Diceros bicornis minor: one gene and its partners. The protein of the gene in region 2 interacts with the protein of the main gene of each other region in a pairwise test. Links are inferred from orthologs where the notes say so. Each region holds a gene or a part of one and is shown on either strand. Other genes may lie near its edges.

The links. The genes of interacting proteins can lie anywhere in the genome.
Region 1: the proteins of VTI1B (region 2) and PTPN5 interact in binary tests that used the Homo sapiens proteins (3 or more experiments, as listed by UniProt). The two-hybrid records come from large-scale screens. The link is inferred for Diceros bicornis minor from reciprocal best matches to the Homo sapiens genes VTI1B and PTPN5.
Region 3: the proteins of VTI1B (region 2) and TRIM59 interact in binary tests that used the Homo sapiens proteins (3 or more experiments, as listed by UniProt). The two-hybrid records come from large-scale screens. The link is inferred for Diceros bicornis minor from reciprocal best matches to the Homo sapiens genes VTI1B and TRIM59.

Annotation. Positions count from the first base shown.
Region 1 is NC_080746.1:76,450,899-76,458,489, forward strand, and holds the start of PTPN5 (tyrosine-protein phosphatase non-receptor type 5), read right to left. Parts: upstream 3,001-7,591; coding exon 2,994-3,000; intron 1,333-2,993; coding exon 1,222-1,332; intron 1-1,221. UniProt on the Homo sapiens protein: May regulate the activity of several effector molecules involved in synaptic plasticity and neuronal cell survival, including MAPKs, Src family kinases and NMDA receptors.
Region 2 is NC_080763.1:16,317,971-16,324,967, forward strand, and holds the start of VTI1B (vesicle transport through interaction with t-SNAREs homolog 1B), read right to left. Parts: upstream 3,015-6,997; 5' UTR 2,899-3,014; coding exon 2,784-2,898; intron 1-2,783. Other genes in the region: RDH11 (retinol dehydrogenase 11), read right to left, coding at 6,264-6,366. UniProt on the Homo sapiens protein: V-SNARE that mediates vesicle transport pathways through interactions with t-SNAREs on the target membrane. These interactions are proposed to mediate aspects of the specificity of vesicle trafficking and to promote fusion of the lipid bilayers.
Region 3 is NC_080754.1:66,345,700-66,353,048, forward strand, and holds the start of TRIM59 (tripartite motif-containing protein 59), read right to left. Parts: upstream 3,001-7,349; 5' UTR 2,922-3,000; intron 1-2,921. Other genes in the region: uncharacterized protein LOC131414636, read right to left, coding at 3,268-3,372, 3,787-4,322, 4,945-5,008. UniProt on the Homo sapiens protein: E3 ubiquitin ligase involved in different processes such as development and immune response. Serves as a negative regulator for innate immune signaling pathways by suppressing RLR-induced activation of IRF3/7 and NF-kappa-B via interaction with adapter ECSIT.

The DNA of each region.
Region 1 (7,591 bases), on a different chromosome or scaffold from region 2:
GAATATTTAATAACCCGGGAAGAAATTCCAATGGTATGGAGCGAGAAAGGCAAGGTTACAAAATAGTACGATCTCCTGGCCTTAAAAATGAAAACTATAACGGTGCGTATATAAAGGGGGAGAAGACCCTGTGTAAGACGGGAGGTTAACACGAAATAGTGCTGGCAGGGCATGCAGCCCAGTGAATGCCTGGCACACAGTAAGTGCTTAACAAATGTCGTACATGGTAAATGGGAAGAACAGAAGCCAGGTAACAACAAGGCTTCTTTGGAGGAGGGTGAAATTAGAGGTGATTTTTTTCATTGTTTATATATCCTAAATTTCCTCCAATACATACATACACACATAGATAAGTATATACATATATACACATATAGATATATTTATTTGTAGTGAGGAAAAAAGTATTTTAAAAAAGAGACCACCATCTTGAGTTCAGATACCAAGAGGCCTCATTAATACTCCCAGGTTCTGGGCCCTGACTCCCACCTGTCACCTCAGTGTCACAAGGGGGTCATAAGAGACTGAGAGCATGTGTGTGGCTCTGTGAGACCACCCAGCAGCAGAACAGCCACTCAGAAGTCAGGCCCCCGATGATGCGGGACCATCACTCCTGCGTATGAAGGACGGCAGGTTCCTCGCCTCGCGCCTCGTGGGGGTGGAGCAAACTGCAGGCTGGCAGGCCCTGTATGCACAGCTCAGAGACAGAGGTGGAAGCTGTTTTTTTATTTTTAAATCCACAGGGTACCTGGCAGCCCTGGGGGCCAGATGAATCCAACTGACGAGGATTCACTGAGTGCCTGGGAGATGCCTACCTGTCAGAGCAGCGTTTGTTGAAAAGCTTGTCTGGGCAGAAATGTAACATTTCTGTACTCAGGAAGATACATTTTCAAACACATACTACATTCTGCATATAATTTTGGAGGGCACCCACGGACCCCAGGTTAAGAAGCCCTGGTCCTGGTCAGGGTGAGGAGCAGAGGCCTGTGATAGACAGGGGTGGAGGGGGTGGGTGGAGCGCTGGGCTGATTTCAGTCCCTGCTCATTCATGGGTGAGTCCCACACACATTTATCGAGCAGCAGTCGTACACCTTGCAAGCGCTGGGCTAGGCTCAAAACAGTCCGTGCCTGCATGGACCACCATGGTCCTGGGCCTCTTCGTCCTTCCGTCCTCTGGTCTCACTCCTAGAGATTACGTCAGCTTCTTCCTTGCCCGCTCACCCTTCCACTCACTATCTTGTTCTGGGAACGGCAGTGCCACCTCTCCGGGCAGGCTCCGTGCAGTTCCCAGGCGCTTCTGCACACGCAGTTCATCTGTTTCCCTCGGCAGCCCTGTGAGGTAGACATTATCATCATCAGCCCGTTTTGTCGGTGAGAGGCGGCTGCTTGTGTCAAGGGCTGGCTTTTCAATAGTTTACAGCGAGCGAGCTGCATTGCCACGCGTGAAACCCTGACTCAGAGGCAGCTGCTGACGGTGACTGCACATCGGGCTCCTCGACTCGCCTCTTGCACAGGGTGAAGGGGATTTTCTAGGCATGGAAATCGAGGCTTAGTGAGGTTAACTGGCTTGCCCAAGTAAGTGCAGACCAGAAATTTGAACCCAGGGCTTCCTGACACCAAGTGGTCTTTCCAATTTGCCATACTGCTTCTCAGGAAAAGGCTACTGCAGCAAAGGCAGGAGGATGGTGAGAGCCCGGGAGGGAGGGAGGCAGGGGAGGAGGGAGTCCCTGCATCTGGGGGAAATTGGAACCCTAACAGCTGCATGGGGTGGTGGTGGTACAGCTTTCGTCCCTGATCCCTGGCTCACGGCTCTGCAAAGGCTACACGGCGCGGAGGGAAGAAGGACTGGAAGGCAGGAGCTCAGTATCCCAGGCCAGATCTCTAGGGACCCTGAGTAAGCCTGCAGGCAAACGGCCTCCAGAGCCTCCCTGGGGCATGTGGAAACACCGTGATCCCTCTCCTGTCACCTAGCGCCCCAATCCCACCACTACACTCCGCAGCAACCGCGTGCCCCGGGGCTGGTGCTGCCTGAGCTCCAGAACCCGTGGCTGCTCCTGTCAGTGACTCATCCTGGGCGCTGCCAGGCTGCCAGCCCACTGGAACGGGAGCGGAAGGCTGGCCCAGCCTCTTCCTGTTTACGTGAGGAGGGAGGTTCTGTCCCATTCAGCTTTTCTTCCCTTCCCAAACAGGGCCAGGAGTGACCTCCCAGCCACGCCCACATAGTCACAGGGGGCCCTGACCAACAGAACATCACATTCAGTCCTGCCCGGGCTTCTAGAACCACAGATGGCCAGAGCCTGACAGGCCCTGAGGGGCATCTGGTCTAGTCTGCTAAATTCTCAGATGGGGAAACTGAGGCCCAGAGAGGGGAGGTGGCTTGCCCAAGGTCAACAGCCAGCCAATGGCAGAGCCAGGAAGTTAGCTGCTACCATGTCCCCCATCAGCTAACACCCTGAGTGTCTACGACGTGCTAGGCTACTCCAAGTGCCTTACAGATATTAACACACTTAACCCTCACGACAATCCTAGAAGCAGCTGCTACTCTAGAAGTAGGTGCTACTCACGCTCACTTTACAGATGAAGAAACTGTGGCACAGAAGTCAAGTCACTCGGCCAAGGTCAGCTAATAAACGGGTAAGCGAAGACCAGAACCCAGGCAGTCTGTCTCCAGAGCCCACGCCATTAACCAACACACTAGACAAGACTCACTCAGGAATTCTGCTCTCGACGCCACAGCATCTTTGAGAAATCTCCAACACTTCCGCCCCTCAATGTCTCAAGAAGTATGGCGTCCTCCACCTGGGAGATGGTGCCGGGCTCCACAGCCCATCACTGTGTCTGAAACCTCGCCATCAGACATGGACCCTTGTTTATGGGACTATTGTTCCTCCTTGCCGTGGGTACAGAAGAGAGGGGGGAACGATGGGGGGTAAGCCTGAGCAGTTTTCTACCAGCTTCTCCCTGGGGAGGGTTAACCAACAGGGAAGACTCACCCTCCATTACGCTCCTACTCTGGCAGCTCTGAGCCGGGCACACCACGAGCCTTATGCTATTCGATACCCACAACCATGCTGTGAGTTAACGTTCGTGCCCACATCTCATACGTGGAGCTGCAGAGGCAGAGAGAGGTCCAGCGACTTGACCAGGGTCACAGATCCAGGAAGTGGCAGAATGGGGAACTGAACCCAGGCCTGTGGGCCTCCACATTCCATGACCTTCCCGCTATTCCTGGAAACCCACAAGAGGATGGGGCAAGGCAGGCTGACGAGGCCTATTTTGAAGTTTTGCTTGGGTAGTCCTGAATGCAGAACCAAGTGAGGGGCTGCCAAGGGAACTGAGAAGGGGTGGAAACATCTAGAAGGAATATGCTTGATCAGCCATTTCTGCCATCACCATCATCACACTCCTCAGCACTGCCCTGGGCTCTGAGAGGAAGAGCTGGCCTTGCTGGGCCGGGGCACCGCTGTGGTCTCTGTCCTCTCCGGGAGAGGGTGGAGTGGTGGCCCCCATTTTCTGTGACATTTTGGGGGGTGTGTAGCAGGAAAACTAGGAGGCAGAGGGTAGGTGCTGGGGGAGGAGACGTTCCCGGGGAGGAGAAGATTCCCAACAACGGTTTCACTTGGCAAACATTTCCTGAGCACTGCTCTATCCCTCGGGACCTATGCGTCTCCATCCCGACGCTTACCAGCGGGACTCCTCAGAGCGAGAACAGCCCTGATGAAAACACTTCTAGCCCCTCTGGGCAAAGGCTGAGGGTGTGGGGCTCTGGGAATTCACACCGGCTCCCCACAACCCCTCCACCTCACCAGTCCTGCTGATCAGCGAGCAACACGGTGAATGAGTCCCCAGAAGGAGGCAGTGAGATGACAAGGACCTGGGTTGGCAGTGAGTAAGCGCTTGATTCCTCTTGGGAGGTAAGCTGGCTGAGGGCAGGCCCATGTCCTGTTCATCTCTGCAGTCCCCAGGCAGGCAGGACGGCAGTGGAAAAGGAAACTGATTTTGGCATAGGAGGACTCTGGAATAGAACACAGGTGCTCGCCATTTATTAGCGACGTGCCTTGGACAAGCTGTTTACCTCCCTGTAACCTGATTCCCGTGGGGGTCTCCAATGGTGTCTGTGACTCCTTCCACAGTCCTCCCATCAATAGGTGGAGTCTATGCCCCCTCCCCTTGACCTGGAGGATGGCCTCAAAGATGGGAATCTGGCAGAAGTGATGCTGCCTGACTGCTGAGCTCAGAAAAGTCCACGTAGCTTCTGCTGCTTCTCTCGGGACACTTGCTCTGGAAACCTTCAGCAGCCATGTAAAAAAATCTAGCTGCCCTGAAGCTGCCTTGTGGAGAGAAGAGAGAGACAGAGCGCAGAGAGCGCGTAAGGATGAGAGAGAGTGCATGCATCAGATGCAGCGGGGGCTCAGGAAATTCTGAACGCTGAATGGAAGCGATCAGGCGGGACATTCGGCAGCTGGGCCAGTGAGGCAGGAGGGCACCTGCACCTTAGGGGCAACGGGATGGTCAAAAAATCATCTGTATGAGACTTTTGTGTGTTGCATTTAGAGTCGTTGTTCTGGGAACTCACCTGGAGCAAGGTGAGAGAGCTGTACCACAAAGAAGGGGGTGGGCAGCTGTATTAGTCTCCCTCCTGCCTGACGGAGAATGTTCCAGGAATCGCTTCAGTCACTTGCTTCAAGCTGGAGACCTGGTTCTCACAGCACCACAAGGTGCAAGCCTTTGGGTCTGCAGTTCAGGCTAATGAGCTCTGGCTCCTCCACACCTCAGAACTATCCTGTCCTTCCCCCTCCCAAGCCCAGCAAGGCGCAGCGCTAAGCTGCGCAGTGACTGCTTCACAAGACTTCCTCATTCAGTCCTTACGACCACTGCATGGGCCAGGCAAGAGGCCTGTGCTCATTTTACAGAGAGGAAGACAGAAGTCCGAGGGGTGAAGGGACTGGCTCAAGGCCATCGCAGCTCGTGGACAGAAGAGCCAGGACTCAGACCCAGGCAGCTGGGCTCCAGCATCTGTTTTCTTAACTGGACTCCGTGCTGCCCGCCCCAGGCTGGGCCTCCACTGCTGCTTCCCCATCCCTGTCAGGGGAAGTCGGCCTGAGAAGGAGCTTCAGCCCGTCCCAGAGCCGAGGGGACAGGCCTTCTCCTCTTGACACAGTCTGTGACACCCTGGCAAGGGGTGGGCTGAGAAAAGCAGGATTGGGACGAGGACGTGGGGAAGAGGTCTGGGAACCAAGGGTGTCTGATGCTTAGTCTGGAGAGCGGGAGGCTGGGGGCAGGGGGTGCTGAACACTGTTCGCAGACACCTGAGAGGCTGTGCCAGGGAAGAGGGCAAGCGAGAGGCAAGAACGGGACCCCGTGTGGATGCCCCCGGCGCGTGGGTGCCCTCGGCGTGTGGATGCTCTCGGCAGGCAGACTTCCAAGTAACAAGAAATATCTCTAGGACCTGACCCTGCAAGTCCGTATTGCAGCTCTTCCTGTCCCCACAAGTGGCTCTGTTTCCAGGGAGGGAGCTTTTGATAAGAGCTCGCAGCAAAAGCTTTGGAGTCACACAGACTTAGGTATGGGGCCCGACTTCGCCATTTACTACTTCTGTGACCTCAGGTAACTGACTTAATGTCTCCCGTGGACAACAGATATACTCAGACTTGCCTGTTGGATTTTGAGGATACTATAAGGTAAAACACACAAAGCGCTTAGCCTGGGGCCAGGCACACAGTGAATATTAGCGGCAGAATTGAGAAAGGAGGGGGAGACAGAAGGGAGGGGAGCATGAGGGAGACGCTGCAGTAAGGACTTCCCTTCCATCTGCCAGGGGAGGCCCCCAGGGGAACAATGGGTACTCTGCCCCATGTGGGCAGGCGCTTCGAGGCTGCTGGCTAGCAACTGGGGTCGGTGGATGGAGTGGGCATGGACTGGGGGTGGCGGAAGTGGGGCAGCTTTGTCTCTGCCAGTTAATTAAATCTGGAATGCTAACAAGCTTTCAAAACAAAACACGACTCAAGTACTCTTTGGATGGGATGTAATACAATGGTTCTGTCTGAAACTGCAAACAGCTTTGTTCCTGCGAACAAAGGCTCAGTTCTCTGTGCCTCTCCGGAGCGGAGGCCAGAAGCACAGGGGTGAAAAGGGTCAATGAAACTCGGAGGGTGCAGCTGCCCAGCTGCCCCCGCTGAGAACTGAAAGAACTGAGAGAGAGGCCCCAGGGAGATGGGGTACCTGAGGTCCCAGGTACCTGAGACTTAAACAAAAGTGTGGGGAAGAAGGGACAGACTTGAGAGAGCATCTTATTCTACCTTCCCATTTCACAGAGGAGGAAACTGAGGTCCAGAGAGTAAGAGGCAGAACCAGGACCGGCACGTGTGTCTTTAACCCTCTGGTTCGGTTCTCGCTCATTAGGCCAGTGTGAGACGTTTCCCAGGGACTGCCTGGGGGTATCTGAAGGGCTGAGGCCTGAGCCCCATGGCAGCAGAAGCCTGGGTCTGGCTTGGGGTTCTTCGGTTGGTCCTGGTCAGTGCCCTCAGAATTCTAGACAAGTCCAGGTGACGGGAAGTGAGCAAGAGCAACCCGAGTGCCCCCACTTTGGGACAAATCCCAAGCCTCCAGAGGCCACCACCTTCAGACGGCCCTCTGCAAGCAGGGAGGCTCACGACGCTGGCAAAGTGTCAAGAGGCCAGAGTGCCTATCCCGGCTCTGCCTCTGCCAGCTGTGTGGCCCTGAGCATCTCACCTCCCCCGTGGGCCTCAGAGGCCTTCTGTCAATCCAAAGAGTGTGACTAGGGGTCTTGAAGAGCCCTTCCAGCACTAAAGAGCCACTGCTGCCAGTTTTTAAAAAACAAATCTGAGCCCCTGCTTTCATTTAATTCATTGGCTTCCCTTGTTCTCAGGATAAAGACCTAAATCCTCGTCACGGCCAGCAGTGAAGGCCCAGCATGCACTGTCCCCTGCTTATCTCCCCAGCCTCCACCCACAACACCTTCCTCCTGGTGGAACCTGGAGGTGGAACCTCCTCTGCTGGAACCAGTCTGGAAGAAGTCTGGAAACTGGTGGTTCTGCTCAAAGAACTCCTCACACAGTTCCTCAGGGGGCACATGAGTCGAGGTTCTCTCCTGTGCTTTCTGTGGTGGGGTAGGGAAGTCTGCATGCCCATCACTTGGGGCAGCTGTAGGCTGTCCAGGGACACACTGGGGAGTACTACGCAGCCCTTAGGAGCAAAGGATCAGAGCACATACGGCACCACGGAAGGATCTCAGAAACAGAGTGCTAAGATCGAGATCTCACACAATACAACAGACACAGATTAAAAATATATGCACACAAAATATCACCACCCATTCTGCCTGAGTGCACAGAAACAAACAAAAAAATCACATTAAACAGACTAACTATGGAGAGAAGGGGCGTGGCAGTGGGAGGTAAGAGAGAATAAGTAAGTGCATAAAACCAGAGGGCCCTCGTGTAGACCACTGCAGATAATGGGCCATGCACCCGGAAGTATGATCGACCACTCTAAAACCTAAAAACAATCATTACCCCCTCCCCCAGGAAACAAGAAACAGAATCACTGAGTTGGAAGTTGGGTCAAGGTC
Region 2 (6,997 bases):
TGGTAAATATTACACTATACTGCCTCTCAATTCACATGATATCGTCTTCGTAAATGTTGTTTTTAATGGCAGAAGAAGAAATATCTTGTCAGGCTAGAACTGACATACATTATGCTCTCAATTCTATAAGGACCCTTGAAGTTCTCATCCACAACCCAAACAAGCCTGCTTCTACTCTTATATTTCTTATGTTCGTCAATTGACCAAGGGAGAAAATACAGACACCCTTGAATCTTTCTCCCTCCTTCTCCATGTCCAATCAGTCTGGTTAATTTCTGCCTCAGACTCACCTCTTGGATTTAGGATTCTCTAGATTCCCATGTTATCTAGATGACTCCCTCAAAGGCTCCTAACATGGTCCCCTGTATCCAGATTCTTGTGCTTCTCTTGCATCCTCTACTCAGCCACCAACATTCTCCTTCTAAAATAAACTCTGACCATATTAGTCAGCTTCTTAAAATCCTTTACTAATTCTCCATATCAAGTCCAAATGTCTCAATGTTACACTTAGGTACCTTCACAATCTGGCTGTGTCTTACTTTCCTCATCTACTACTCTCCCACACATAGCCTAAGCTCCAGTCACAGCTGTGAGCATTCAATTTCTATTCCTTTGTTGCCTCGTTCCATTTCCCCTCTGTCTGGCCAACTCCCATCCAATGCCTCACACTCAGTTCAAGGTTCTCCTTTCTGTGAAGCTTCCCTTTCTTCCCCTTTCTTTTTGCTCCCCCACGCCCAAGTTAACCTTTTTTTAATGGTCTCAAAATTATTTTAGGGCTCATCACACACTTTCTTGTAAATTTGCTCCCATTGAAGGCAAGAACTCTTGGAACTCCTCAGGGCCCAGAACAGTGAGTGACATGTAACAATTCTCAATAAATATTTATTGAAAAATGACTGAATTAAATTAAAGCACATAACCTAAATGCAAGGGCTGTATTATGTACATTATTCAGTGCCTAATAATTCACGATGGAAATTAAATCTCTGGAAAGCTTATGGAGTAGTCTCAGAACTAGGAAAAAAAAAGGATTCAGAGATGAGGCCCAGTGTGTTTACTTAATAAAATTCAATTTATTCAACAAATATTTATTGAGCAGTATGAATAGGGAAATTGAAAGTTGCTGAAATTCTTATTATAACCTGGGAATATGTGTGTTTTACATTTACTTACCCATTAAACAACTAAGTCTGTTACCAGCAACTTGTGTTAGAGTATTTTGTACTTGGGTAGGAATTCACACCTTTTTGATCATCCTCTTTGTACGAATGAGAAGGTTAAGTAGATGATGAAGGTGAATATAACTAATTCAGTTTTCTATTTTTCAAAATGGAATGCCCTTTTGCATTATTTAGCCTTATAGAAATGGACAGTGCAAAATTTAATTCAGCACCAGGCTGAAAAAACTGTCTCTTTTTCCACCTTGTAAATCAGATCTCATCACTCTCCTGCTCAATATCCTTTAATTGCATCCCATTGCATTTAGAAAAAGATATAAATCTTTCACCTTGGTCTACAAGGCCCCACACGATCTGGCCCTGCGAACCTCTCTCCAGCCTCATCTACTACCACTACCTGCTCAGTCCACTCCAAACACAAGGGCCTTCTTGTTCTTCCTAGGACATACCAAGCTCATTTCTGCGTAAGGACTTTTGCAGTGCTATTCTGTCCTCCTGACACTCACTTCTCCCAGAGTTTTGCATGGTTTACTCCCCTCATTCAAGTCCCTGCTCAAATGCCGCCACCTCAAAGAGGCCTTTCACAACCACCCTATTTAAAATTAGAGCTCCCCACTCCCAACTCTCTATTCCTTTGCCCTGCTTTATTTTCTTGTATTGCCCTCAACACTGCCTCTTAATATTTATATATTATCATTGACTCATTAGAACGGGGATTTGTAAATCTTTTCACTGTAATCTGAAATATTATCAGCATCCAGAACAGTGTCTGGCACACAGCAGCCTCTCCCAGTAAATATGTTAAACAAACGTATGAATTTCATTCTCACTGGAATCATTTAATTCATCTGATCTTGGGTAACTCACAGAACAAACACTCAAGCTCTGATCCTTAAGTAAAAACAATAAAACAAAATCTTATCTGCCTTGACATCAAGATCTGTTTTTCCGAGGCAAATAACTGTGGCAGGTCTTCCTGTGGATTTCACTGCAAAACTCTAGCTTCTCCAGGCAAAGCTTGCAGCAACCTGTATTTTGAAATCAATTTTGAAAAGGGGCAGGAAATAGTCTAAACAGAAAATTCATAAGAGGACCATAGCTAGACGCCACAATCCTGATTTTTAAGACCAACCCCCAAAATTGATATTTACCAACCCCCAAAGTTATGACTCCTCTGGGTTCTTAACCCTTTTGGTGCTACGGATCCTTTGCCAGTCTGGTGAAAACTACGGACCTCTCTTGAGAATAATGCTTTTAAGTGCATAAGACAAAATACAGAGAGCTAAAAAAAAAAACACAATTCTACTGAAACAGAGAACCGCAGATGTAAGGTTTCCTATGCTCTTCTTGCCACAGTGCAAATGAGACGAGAAAATTTTGAAAGCTATAGGAGGATTAAGAGGGAGAGTCCCAAGGAGATGACACTCCGGCGTCCACACCTGAGCACCCTAAGTGGCTGCAGGGAGATCCTGGGCGCCAGGACCCAGCCAGCCCTAGGGGGCGTGTCTGAGGACGAAGAGCAGAGAAAAGGGCCGGGGTCTGGGACTCTTGCTACAAGGGCGCGCGGAGCCGAGTTCCCCACGGCTGGGCCCGCCCCCGCCTCACCTGTCCCGGCAGTGCCCAGGAGCCGCACCGGCACCCCTCGTAGGTCTTCATGGAGGCCGCGGAAGATCTCGTGCAGTTTCTCGAAATGCTCCGAGGAGGTGGCGGAGGTGGCCATGGCGCAGGCCGCGTTCTAGCAGCGGCCGCCGAGATTCTGGGCACGGAGCCCGCTGCTACCTCGCGGTCAGCCGCCCAGCGCCGCAGGCATCACGGCGACCGCCGCCACGGCCGCCCTGAACGAGGAGCTTCCGGGGCCGCGGCGGGGTCCTCCCGCGTCGGAACGCCCACTCCCTTCATGCCGTCACTGTGGGAGCGCCGGGCGCGAAAGCCTGACGGAAAGTCCGGCATGCTGCGCTGCCCAGGCGAGTCCTGAGGGGGCAGCGGCGCGCCGGCGGGAGCGACAGCCCCGGGGCCCCGGAAATACCCAGTCCGGGGTTGGGGAGAGCGCCGCAGCGGGAAGGACTGTGGGGACCAGCGGGACGGGCAGCGCGGCCGCCTCTCTTCAGGGCCCCGCCTTCTGGCGAGGGGGAGGGAACGCTGCAGTGCATGCCGGGGGCTGTAGTTCGTAGCGGAAGACGCTCCGACTCGGAGGTCACTGGTTGCCCGGGGCGGTGGCTCTGGCCGCGCAGCGCCCGCCGGGGATGACGCTGACGCACAGCGGTTTGGTATCAGTGTGCTTCTGGACGTTATCTTCCTCGTCGGCGCACTGTTTGGCCACCCTGACTTCCTCGGTTCACGTCCTGACTAATGTTAGCTTTCAGCCCTGGAAAGATAGCCGGGCCGGGTTCCCGCCTGCCCTCGAGCGGTGAAGCACTTTTACTGGGGAGGTCAAGTGACCAGGGTCACATGCTTTCAGAAGTGGTCGCCGGGCAGTGTGACCCCCAAAATACGCCCTCAGCCTCTAGCGGCCGGGCTCGCCTGGTGCATTTGTTCACGCAGCAGGTGTTTGTTAATGTTCAGCGTAGTCATTGTGCAGGGGTCTGGGCATGTGTTAGTGAAGAATAATATATAATATAATGTGGTGAGCAAGGCGGACCCCTTCGTCAGGTCTCTTTCCGCAAGTTGTAGTGTTAACAGTTACAAAGTCCTTACCTGCACTCCACGTTTTCATGGTTCAAGTGGCAGGAAATTCCTCATGCTTTGCCTATGGAACCGGTTCAGAAATGTTTGCTTGGCAACGGAATACTTAAAACTGCCCACACATATTAAAAGACACATGACTGCTCAGGGGGAAATGATTTTGTGATTTATATCTCCTGCATCCTTATTTTTATTAGACTGAGTTCATTGACTATTGATTCAACAAACTTTTGTTGAGCTCCTAATATTTATTGAGCATAGAGAGACAGCAGAGTCTGAGGTTGTTAGTGGCAGTGTATTGTGATATGTCCCATAGCATTGTGTTATAGAAGGGGCAGGTACAAAACGGAGAGAGAATAAATAGCCTGGGATGGAAAAAGTGACCTTACAAGATAAGTAGAAAATGGGTGAATGAGTAATCAAATCACACAACCAAAATTAATGGTATTTGAATTGAGACTATACTCTGGCTGGACTCTGGGACAAATTATCCTCAGAATGAGAAATGACTGCGTAACTGTAATAATGAAAAATGTTTTCTTCTTTTGACTATAATTAATTGTTTTCTTCTGTTGACTCTAATTAAGCTTATGTTTAATTCTTACAGTTTTTATTCTGGTAAATAAAAACATGATAATCAAAAAATGTTTATTTATCATTGACAGTTCTATATAAATCAGGTAAAATATTAATTCAGTTATTCTACTGCACTATTATCAAATTTTTCCATAAAATAACCATTTCTAAATATATAATTTAATGGTCAAAACAAGTTCAACAAAAGATTATTAATTTACAAATACACAAAGACTGTGATCCTATAACTCTTTTCCCCACCAAAGTGAACATATAATTGTCAGTCCAACAAAATCACAAACTTGTATTAGAAAACCATACTCCCAACAAGTGATGGGCACATTACCAATTCCTCAGACATCCTTTGACAGCATTACTTTTGATAAAAGTTCTCCAAATATGATGTAGACTTTTAGAAAATAGACATTTTAATCTTATTAAGATAATGAAATGCCCTGAAAGATTAGTAAATTGACTGTAATTACCAATATCAGTCCTTAAGATAATTTTACTGACTAAAGAATTGGGTTTTTTTGTTTTATTTTTGTTTGTTTGGGGTTATTCTCTGCCACATTGGCTGACTGGTGCGTGTTAAGATAGTACCTTGTCAGTCTTACTAACTCAAGTGCTCATCCTCAGTTCTTCTATAGCTGGATATTACCATCTGTAGCTGGGGTTTCTCTTTTTAATCCTTAACTAAGCCCTTCAATGCATGCATTATCTTCCAGGATTCTTCTCTTTCTTGAACTTCTTCCCTGCTACCCATGTGCTTCTTGGTGGGTTAGTTACCAGCATGCACAGAGTCTGCTTCCCTTTGCAGCTCTATCCATTTGTATCCAAGTCTAGATGACACTGGTTTGCTCCATCGCTATCATGTACCTGCACTAGGGTCCAGTTTAATACTGTTCCCTGGTGGCTGTTTTGAATTTTGTGAAAATACTCCCAACTGCATAAATACAGAAAGATATACGCAGTGACAATCACCAGATAGCCTTTCCTTTCTTCTGGTTTTCTAAGAGAAGCTAAAGCATGAAGGAGGAGGCCTCCACGGGTCTGGGGTCAGTAACTGAAGTAGGTGGCCCAGCTTCCCATACTGCTCCTTTCATTACCCCCTTGCTGGCCTGAGGAACAGCAGGAAAATGACAATTTAAATAGATTTTTATTTCTGCCTTCCCCCAAAACCCCACAAACTTCTTAGAAAAGGTAGCTCTTCTGTGGTCTAGGCATGGGAAAGTGTCTTAACAGCACTGGTTCTAGGTGGACAGAGATAAAACCATGTCACAATCCAGATTCAGTTAAGAGTTTCCTGAAAGAATCTAGATGTTGGCATCATGATGGTTTTCTTAAGAGGTGAGGGACAAGCCCTGCTCTTGGGCCAAGCCACTGTGACTCCTGGAGTTCAGCTGAGGCTGCAGTGTGGCTCTCTTGAAGTGAAGGTTGGTTGGTTGGGAAGAACTTCATTGTGAATAGGGAGGGTAGAAACTAGTTCAATTTGCCATAAAGCAGCCCTGCCATAGCTTAAGTTCTCCTAGGTAGTAGATTTCAGAAGGAGAATATGAGCTTTCAGGTCATATGAGGGTGTACTTACCCTATGATATCTTTAGTAACTCTGGTAGTAACAGTAGCAAAGTAAACCTGGACAAATGCAAGGTGTTTAGAAGAATCTGGCAGTGTACCCTGGACTTTCATCAGACATCAAGCAGGAAAGGCTGGAAGGTTTTCTCTCTTTGTGCTCAAGGTTTTGGCCATCCTGAAGGAGAAACATTCTGGCAGGGAGTACTGAGTAGTCTGCTGCACGCTGCTCTTGCGTCCAACTGCCACCACCTGTCAATCCCTAGTGATGCCCAGCAGGTCACAGCTGACGTCCCATAGCCGCCTTGCTATTGTCTCATTACGAGCCTTGGCAGAGACCCATGCCACATGGCACTCACTGGAAGGGAAAGAGAGAGGCTTAAAGCACAGGGTTGAGAAGTCTGCTCTCTGCCTGGGATAAGGAATAAGACAGAAAAAGGACCCAGGGATGACATGACCTTTAGGCGCTTCACAGGGCCAGTGTTTGTCCTCTCTCTTCATTCTCCAATCTTTACTCCAGAGAAAATGTAATTACCATTTTAGATCTCACTAGACCACCTCTGATCACAATGCTTTGTTTGATATATAATGCATATCATTTAGTCTTTATATTCTCCTTTGTATGTATATATTTAACTATAATATCAGTGCCAGCCTGACACCTGTGCTTGACCATCTTGTTCAAATAGGTCTCTGGGGTCCATTCTAGAGGACCTTGTATAGTGTCATGTGGCTGAGATCTTGCTATTTACATTGGTCACAGATGCTTGGAGTGGTAAAAAAAAAAAAAAAAAGCTACTTATTTCTGGTCTACCTGAAGTTATAACTATTTTAAAACTTGAATAACAAGTAAACCCAGCTTCATAAACAACAAAAGAAGGAAAAGATGAGAGCAGAGAAGAAATGGTAACAATAAGGTACCAGGTATTTCATACACCTTCTCTTCATTGCTATAATTCTAATTATTTTTAGACCCCATTACATGCAGG
Region 3 (7,349 bases), on a different chromosome or scaffold from region 2:
AAAGGTTTCCAAATCCTCCTCTATAAAACTAACTTTTAAGATCAAAAGTTTGAGAAGAGATCTACAAATAACTAATTGTACCTTTAATAAACATAAAAACCTCTTTAGGATCTTTTCGAATTCCATGTCTATTCGGACAAGGGAAACAAAAGAAAAAATAAACAAGGGGGACCTCATCAGATTAAAGAGCTTCTACAAGGCAAATGAAACCAGGATCAAAATGAATAGACAACCAACCAGCTGGGAGAAAATATTTGCAAACCATATATCCAACAAGGGGTTAACTTCCATAATATATAAAGAACTCACACAACTGAACAACAAAAAAACAAACAACCCAATCAAAAAATGGGCAGACACTTCTCCAAAGAAGAGATACAGATGGCCAACAAGCACATGAAAAGATGCTCGACATCACTAATCATCAGGGAAATGCAAATCAAAACCACACTAAGATATCACCTTACACCTGTTAGAATGACTACAATCACCAAGACAAAAAACAATAAATGTTGGAGAGGTTGTGGAGAAACGGGAACCAATTCACTGCTGGTGGAAATGCAAACTGGCACAACCTCTATGGAAGACAGTTTGGAGATTCCTCAAAAAATAAAAAACAGAAATACTTTATGGTCCAGCTATCCCACTACTGGGTATCTACCCAACGAACCTGAAATCAACAACCCAAAGAGGCTTCTGCACCCCTATATTCATTGCAGCATTATTCACTATAGCCAAGATGTGGATGCAACCCAAGTGTCTGATGACTGATGATTGGATCAAGAAGATGTGGGGTGTGTGTGTGTGTGTGTGTATATATATATATATATATATATATATACACACACACACCATGGAATACTACTCAGCCATAAAAAAGACAAAATTGTCCCATTTGCAACAACATGGATGGACCTGGAGGGTATTATATTAAGCAAAATAAGCCAGAAAGAGAAAGACAAACAACGCATGATTTCATGATCACCACATGTGGAAGATTAACACACGGACAGAGAGAACAGTTTGGTGGTTACCAGGGGCAAGGGGGTTGGGGGGTGGACACAAGAGGTGAAGGGATGCATTTATATGGTGACTGACAAATAATAACGTAGAACTAAAATTTCACAATGTTATAAAATATTAAGGCATCAATTAGGGAAAAAAAAACACCATTTAGACTTTTTAGCTCTATGCTCCTTATCTTCACCATTTGCAAAACCAAACTCTTATTCATTCTTCAAGTCTCAATTTGAGCCCCGCCTCCTCCCCAGATTAGGTCCCCTGTTAATCTGCACTTCTACTTCATAGCACTTAACTGGATTTTATTTAAAAGAATTCTGTAATACTTTTCTATACATTACAATGTGTGAGTCTGCAATAGGGCAGGAATTGTCTAAAACTTTAAAATTTTTTAAGTGTCTTGCCTATTATCCAGCCTTTCCTCTGCCAAATTAATTTTAGAATCAATTTATATTATTTTACACTTTTAAGAAGTAAAATAAAAGTAACCCGTGTAAACTGTTATTTTCCTCCAGTGAGTACTAAAAGCCCAAGTAAAAATTGATAACTTAGTTCAAGGCTTTCTGCTTCCCTTTTAAAAGTCACTAAGATACATGAATATAAAAAATAAATCTTTTCAGAAAGAAACCTGAAGCTAAATCATCTACTTGTAAATTATTTCACAAATTTCTTGTTTTCAAGTGTCAAAAACAAACACACTTCTGAATTTGTAAACTTTTTATGCAGTTTCTCCAGAGGGCTGATTTCCTGTGGAGCCTCCACAATGTCTAACCAGCATATTATGGATGGTCAGCGCTAATAATAGATGATGGAGAATGAAGCAGTACCAAAAATATCCTTACCCGTTCTCCTGTGTAAACTATTTTTTAAGTTTTAATTCACTAATGTGGTATTGCCTTTCATCTCTAAACATCAATGATTATAACACATTCATTACATTTTACAACTTCTGAAAAGAAATTACATTGACCACATTATAGAGTTGGATGGCTTGCTCTTGGACTTACAGTGTGAGTCAGCTCTAAGTCTGGGAAAATTCAAGAGGTGCCAACAGCCAGACTGGGGCTCACATCTTTGTGGCCCTAACTGATAAAACGCACATTTCATACAATTCAAGACTTACTTTAGAAATACTACAACTGTGCTACATATATATACATAGGGCAAGATTTTAAAAATACTTTTGTACATATAAATATAAAAAAATAATGAAGGATCACCATAACTCTTTCAAATTAAAAAAAAAAAAAAATCCTAAGGTCAGATCTGATTTTAACTGTGCCCGTTTGTACTATTTTCCTGCATTTTGACATCAACCTGTTTTCCCAAACCAAAAAAGAAACTATTAATGCAATTTAACAAGGAACTGAAATGAGAAGTTAAGGTTTTCATTGCTTTTGTTTATACTTTTCAAAGTGAAAATATATCTGGTGGAAAACATTCAGCAATATGTTTGCTGAAAGGCAATGTTCAAAGTAACATTACCTAAAATCAAAATTTCACCTTGCCAGAGCAGTTAAATTATGGTACCTTACTTCAAAGGACAGCTACTTGATCATTAAAACAGAACACATATCAATATCTAAATACATAATAACAAGGTGTCCAGATAACTTAATAAATGCAATTTAAAGATCTGTATGTATAAAATGAGACCGTGTATTAAGATGCACACATCCTTGTAAAATTTCTAAAAGAGTATACAAGAGTTAACGACTTAAAGGTCAGAAGAGGGAGTTGTTTTTCACTTTATGCTCCTTTTATATGGTTTGAATTTTATACAACACCAACGTACATCTTTTTTCAAAAGATTTAAAAATTTCACTTACAGTTTAAATCATACACTCAGTAAAAATTTACTGAAGATTTCTTTCATATTCACTTAGTCTCCCAGAGCTTACCTACTTTGTTGATCTTCTAGCTTGGAGACTGAATATTCTTTAGCTTCTCCAGCTTTTTCAATTCTAATTCTAAAATTAAAACAATTTTACCTTAATGTTTTAGATTTACATCCTCAAAAAATATATTAAATACGATATCACAGGAATGGTTCTTTCACTGTCTTTGACAGTTACCTTCTTTACACCTCAGTGCTTTTAGAAAAGTACTGACAAATATCACCAGTTGTTGGAGCAGCAGGACAGGTATCACTCGTACCTTGAAAATCCCAACAATTCTGTGACCAAATCAATTGTCACAAAGGACCTCTTTTTATAGCGTCCAGTGTCTCCTGAGCTCTCGACAATATTAGTCAACAATGGGGATGAGGGAGCAAACGTTCGTGGTCATTTCAGATTGCTTCAAGTTAAGTGGAAGACAAGAAGCCTCCACAGGAGTCCAAGATTTTGCCAGCTTAAAATTATAAATATTAACTTAGGTTATTCCCATCAATACGTCTGTTCATCTCTCAGTTCCGCCACGTAAACGCCGTGGGACCCTGGGTCAGTTCTCCCTGCTGCCTCTCAGCACGTGTGACGTGGCACAATCACACCTCCTCCCGCGAAGCCCCGAGAGCCCCTCTCGAAGGAGAGCCTCCCCTTCCCCAGGGTCGACGACGACACCCGGGCCGCCGCCGGACGCGCCTCCCCCGCGAGCCCGCGGCCGCCCGGCCTCTGGAGGCCCGCTCGCCCCTCCCCGCTACGGCGGGCTGCTCCCCGGAAAGGCAGTGCCACCTGAGGGAGGACAAGTCCCCTCTGGGACAAGAGGGAGCGGGTCAGGACCTAAGCCCACCTCCGCCTCGCGACCCTCGACTCCCTGCAAACACACCCTGTATGCCTGCCTGTGCTCCGGGGAAGAGGCACCCAGAGCCGTCTTCTCCTCCTCGGCCTCAACACGGGGAGGGCCGCCCGCACGGAAACCGAGCTCCCCGCTTCCCGGGCACGCGGAGACACGCTCGGCGGCCGCGCCCTCCGCCCTCAGGGACTTCAGGCGTGCAGACCGGGCGGGGCCTCGCGGGTCTGAGGGCGCAGGCGCAGTCTCCGCGCAACATTCAACTGCCCAGCATTGGCCAATGGGAAAGTGCGGGACCGCGGTTCGAAAGTAAACGGTCGGCTGCGCCCGCCAGGGCGGGGCGTGATCGCGAGGACTCTGCGCGAGACTCCGGCAGCGTTCTGCGCCTGCGCCCTGGGTGCCTGCCCCTCTCCGAAGGCCCGAGGCGCGCTGCAGAGGCCGGGTTTTGGCGGCCGCGCCCCAGGGCGGGTCTCTCCTGGGGCGGCGGCCGACGTTCCCCACGAAGAAGGCCCCTAGAAGCCAGGCCGCATGTTGTGATGCTGGACTTCGAAGCGCAGTGTTTCCGTTGTCCCCTCACAGTCCCCGCGCCGGCAGTCTCCGCCCGCCCGCGGCGCGAGCACCCAGCGGGCGAGCTCGACCTCCTCTGAGGCGAGCGGCCTCCGCGCGGAGAGGCAGGGACCTGGGCGCCCGACCCCGGAGCGTCCCCTGGTGCTTCCGGAGAACCGGCTCCGCGAGCTGGCGGAGCGAGGACCCCTCAGGACGGTCTCCTGCTCCTCCTTGCCTCCCGTTGGTCCCGCTTTATGAAGTGGTTGCCCAGAGAGGACGCGACTGGGGCACAGAATTCCTGACTTCCAGTTCAGTTTCTCCACTGAGTTCCTATTTCACCTTCTTAACCCCCTAGAATCAGGAAACATACAGTTCAGTAGTCCTTTTCCCTTTTTTTCTTGAGAGGCTTTCTCCAGCGCGATCTCAAGGCGCTCCCCTCACAGCTTCCCCTGCCTCTAAAGGTCGCCTGCCGCCGTGCTAAATCGTCTGTGAGCCCTGGGGGACTGCGTGGTGCGGGTGCGTCCAGGTCTTAGGCTCTTATACAGTAAAATACAGGAAGCACATCAAACACAGTATGAAACAGAAATTAAGGTAATATCAGTGAGTCCTGAGCCAATCTCAAATGTCTTCACCAACTCAGCTACTGACGAGGTTGCTTATCATGTGTGGATTCCAGCGCTATGCGCACTGTTGTGTGGTGGTACATGCTCATTTCGACTTTTTTTATGCACGTACATTTTCTATTTTTAGAGTCATCCTGATAAACAGCTTCTTAACTTCCTGTCAGAACAATATGATGTGAATATCTTTCCATAGCAATAAATGCACTATACGTCTATAGAATTATTCTTTTAAGAAACAACACAATGGTAACTAACCATGGACTCTGGATGATTATGATGTGTTAATGTAGGTTCGTCACTTGCAACAAATGTACCACTCTGGTGGGGGACGTTGATAATGCGGGAGCTGAATGTTTGGAAGAAGCAGAAAAAGAGAAGTATGATAGCCCCAAGGTAGAAATTACTCAGGTCCTGGTGGAGGGAAGCTATGACACCAAAAAAGAGGGCCTACATCTGTGGCTCCAGGGAGACTGCTTTAGTGGCCCATGGGTTCCCAACTCTGCCAAAGATTTCTGTAACCCAGCATGACCAGGAAGTAGCAGAGAGCTACAGGAGCCTACAAAACCAATGGCAGTCAACTTGACATACTGAGTTTGTGGACTGTGATTCAGGCACTCTCCAGAAGACCACGTTGGCCTGGAAAGGTTGGACAAAGAAGTAACACTCAGACACAGAAGTACGTGGTTAAAACCATAAGCTTAAAAATCTGAGGTGCTAAGGTGCTCAGCTACCCAAAAAAAGGTGAGGAGAGGGAAGTTCAGCTGCTTTGGGTCTCTGCCTATATGCCTGCACCAATCTCCTTTTGAAAGAAAGTAGGAAAAGGTTAAAAAATGATAAACCTTTGCAGTTATTAACAGGTTATATGAACAGGAGGCAATAAAACATGAATTTTAGGACAACCTTTGGGTGCTCAGGTCAGGCTCCCTGCTTAGACATCTTCTATCTCAAGCCCCCAAACAGTCACAGTCACAGAGAAGTGCCCTGTAGGCAAGCTAACTTTCTGATTTGGAGTTCTAATAGCTACAGAGTTTAAGCACCCTCCTGTTGTCTCCCATCACGTTGGCCTCATCAGAATTATAATAAAGAGAACACATGACTTTCCAAAGTTAAAGGCACCTGTGGTTTATTTCTAGGACTTCAAAGAAAACACAGCCGAGACTGCCGCCATGATTACAGTGGCAGTGAATCAAGGACAGTGAGCTAGGAGAATCTGCCTGACAGTTCATAGGTCATTTTACCTGGGAAAAAAGCACCCAGCTTGGGGGCCGGCCTGGTGGCGTAGTCATTAAGTTCATGTGCTCGCTTTGGCAGCCCAGGGTTCAGGGGGCCAGACCCCAGCGCAGACCTACACACCGCTCATCAAGCCACGCTGTGGCAACGTCCAGCATACAAGATAGAGGAAGATTGGCACAGATGTTAGCTCAGGGACAATCTTCTTTACTAAAAAAAAAAAAAGAGCACCCAGCTATATGATGCAATAGAGTTCACAGACTCAGGGATTTGGACTTGGAAGAGATCTTAGAGGCAACCTAGAAAAATTTCATTTTCAGAGAAGAAAAACCTACCAACCATATTGGTGTTGCCTTAAACTGAGTTTGAGCCCAAATTTGATATTAGTACCTATACAGTCTTAAGCACTAGAACATATTATATAGAATTTATTTTCACACAGCATTTTTCAGCTGTATCTCTGAATGCAACTTGGAAGACTAAAAGAATGTCTTCTGCTCAGTAGTAGTTTACCTCCTAACTAGTTTCCCTTTCATTTACTGTCTCTCGTTAAGAATCATTTTATTTCAAATGCCACTAACTTTTTTTTCTGGCCACTAGCTTTTTTTTTTTTTTTTTAGTGAGGAAGATTAGCCCTGAGCTAACATCGGTTGCCAATCCGCCTCCTTTTGCTGAGGAAAATTGGCCCTGGGCTAACATCTGTGTCCATCTTCCTCTATTTTTTTTTTTTTTATGTGTGGGACGCCTGCCACAGCATGGCTTGATAAGCAGTGTGTGGGTCTGCGCCCGGGATCTGAACCTGCGAACCCCAGGCCAACGAAGTGGAGCGTGCGAATTTAACCACTATGCCACCAGGCTGGCCCCATCCACTAGCTTCTTTAAATGCTCAATTTTGTGGGTGGCTGTTACCTTAAATAAATTTGGGGAATCTCTTGATTCAGGCAGTTAATATGCAATTTTCTAGGACATTCTGTTTGTAATTGTTATGCCATCATCACATTTATTTTAATTATCTAAACATTTTGAATTTCAAGAATTTTTTCTTATAAATCATAAAATTTTGATTTTGATAGTCTTGTGTGATTCTCTAATCCATTTCAGCACAGCAATATTATTTATTTGTCTAATAAATGGACAGCATGAAAGTTACAGAGAACACAGATCTTGTACTTGAGTTGCTTATCTCAGTGAGCTGATGTA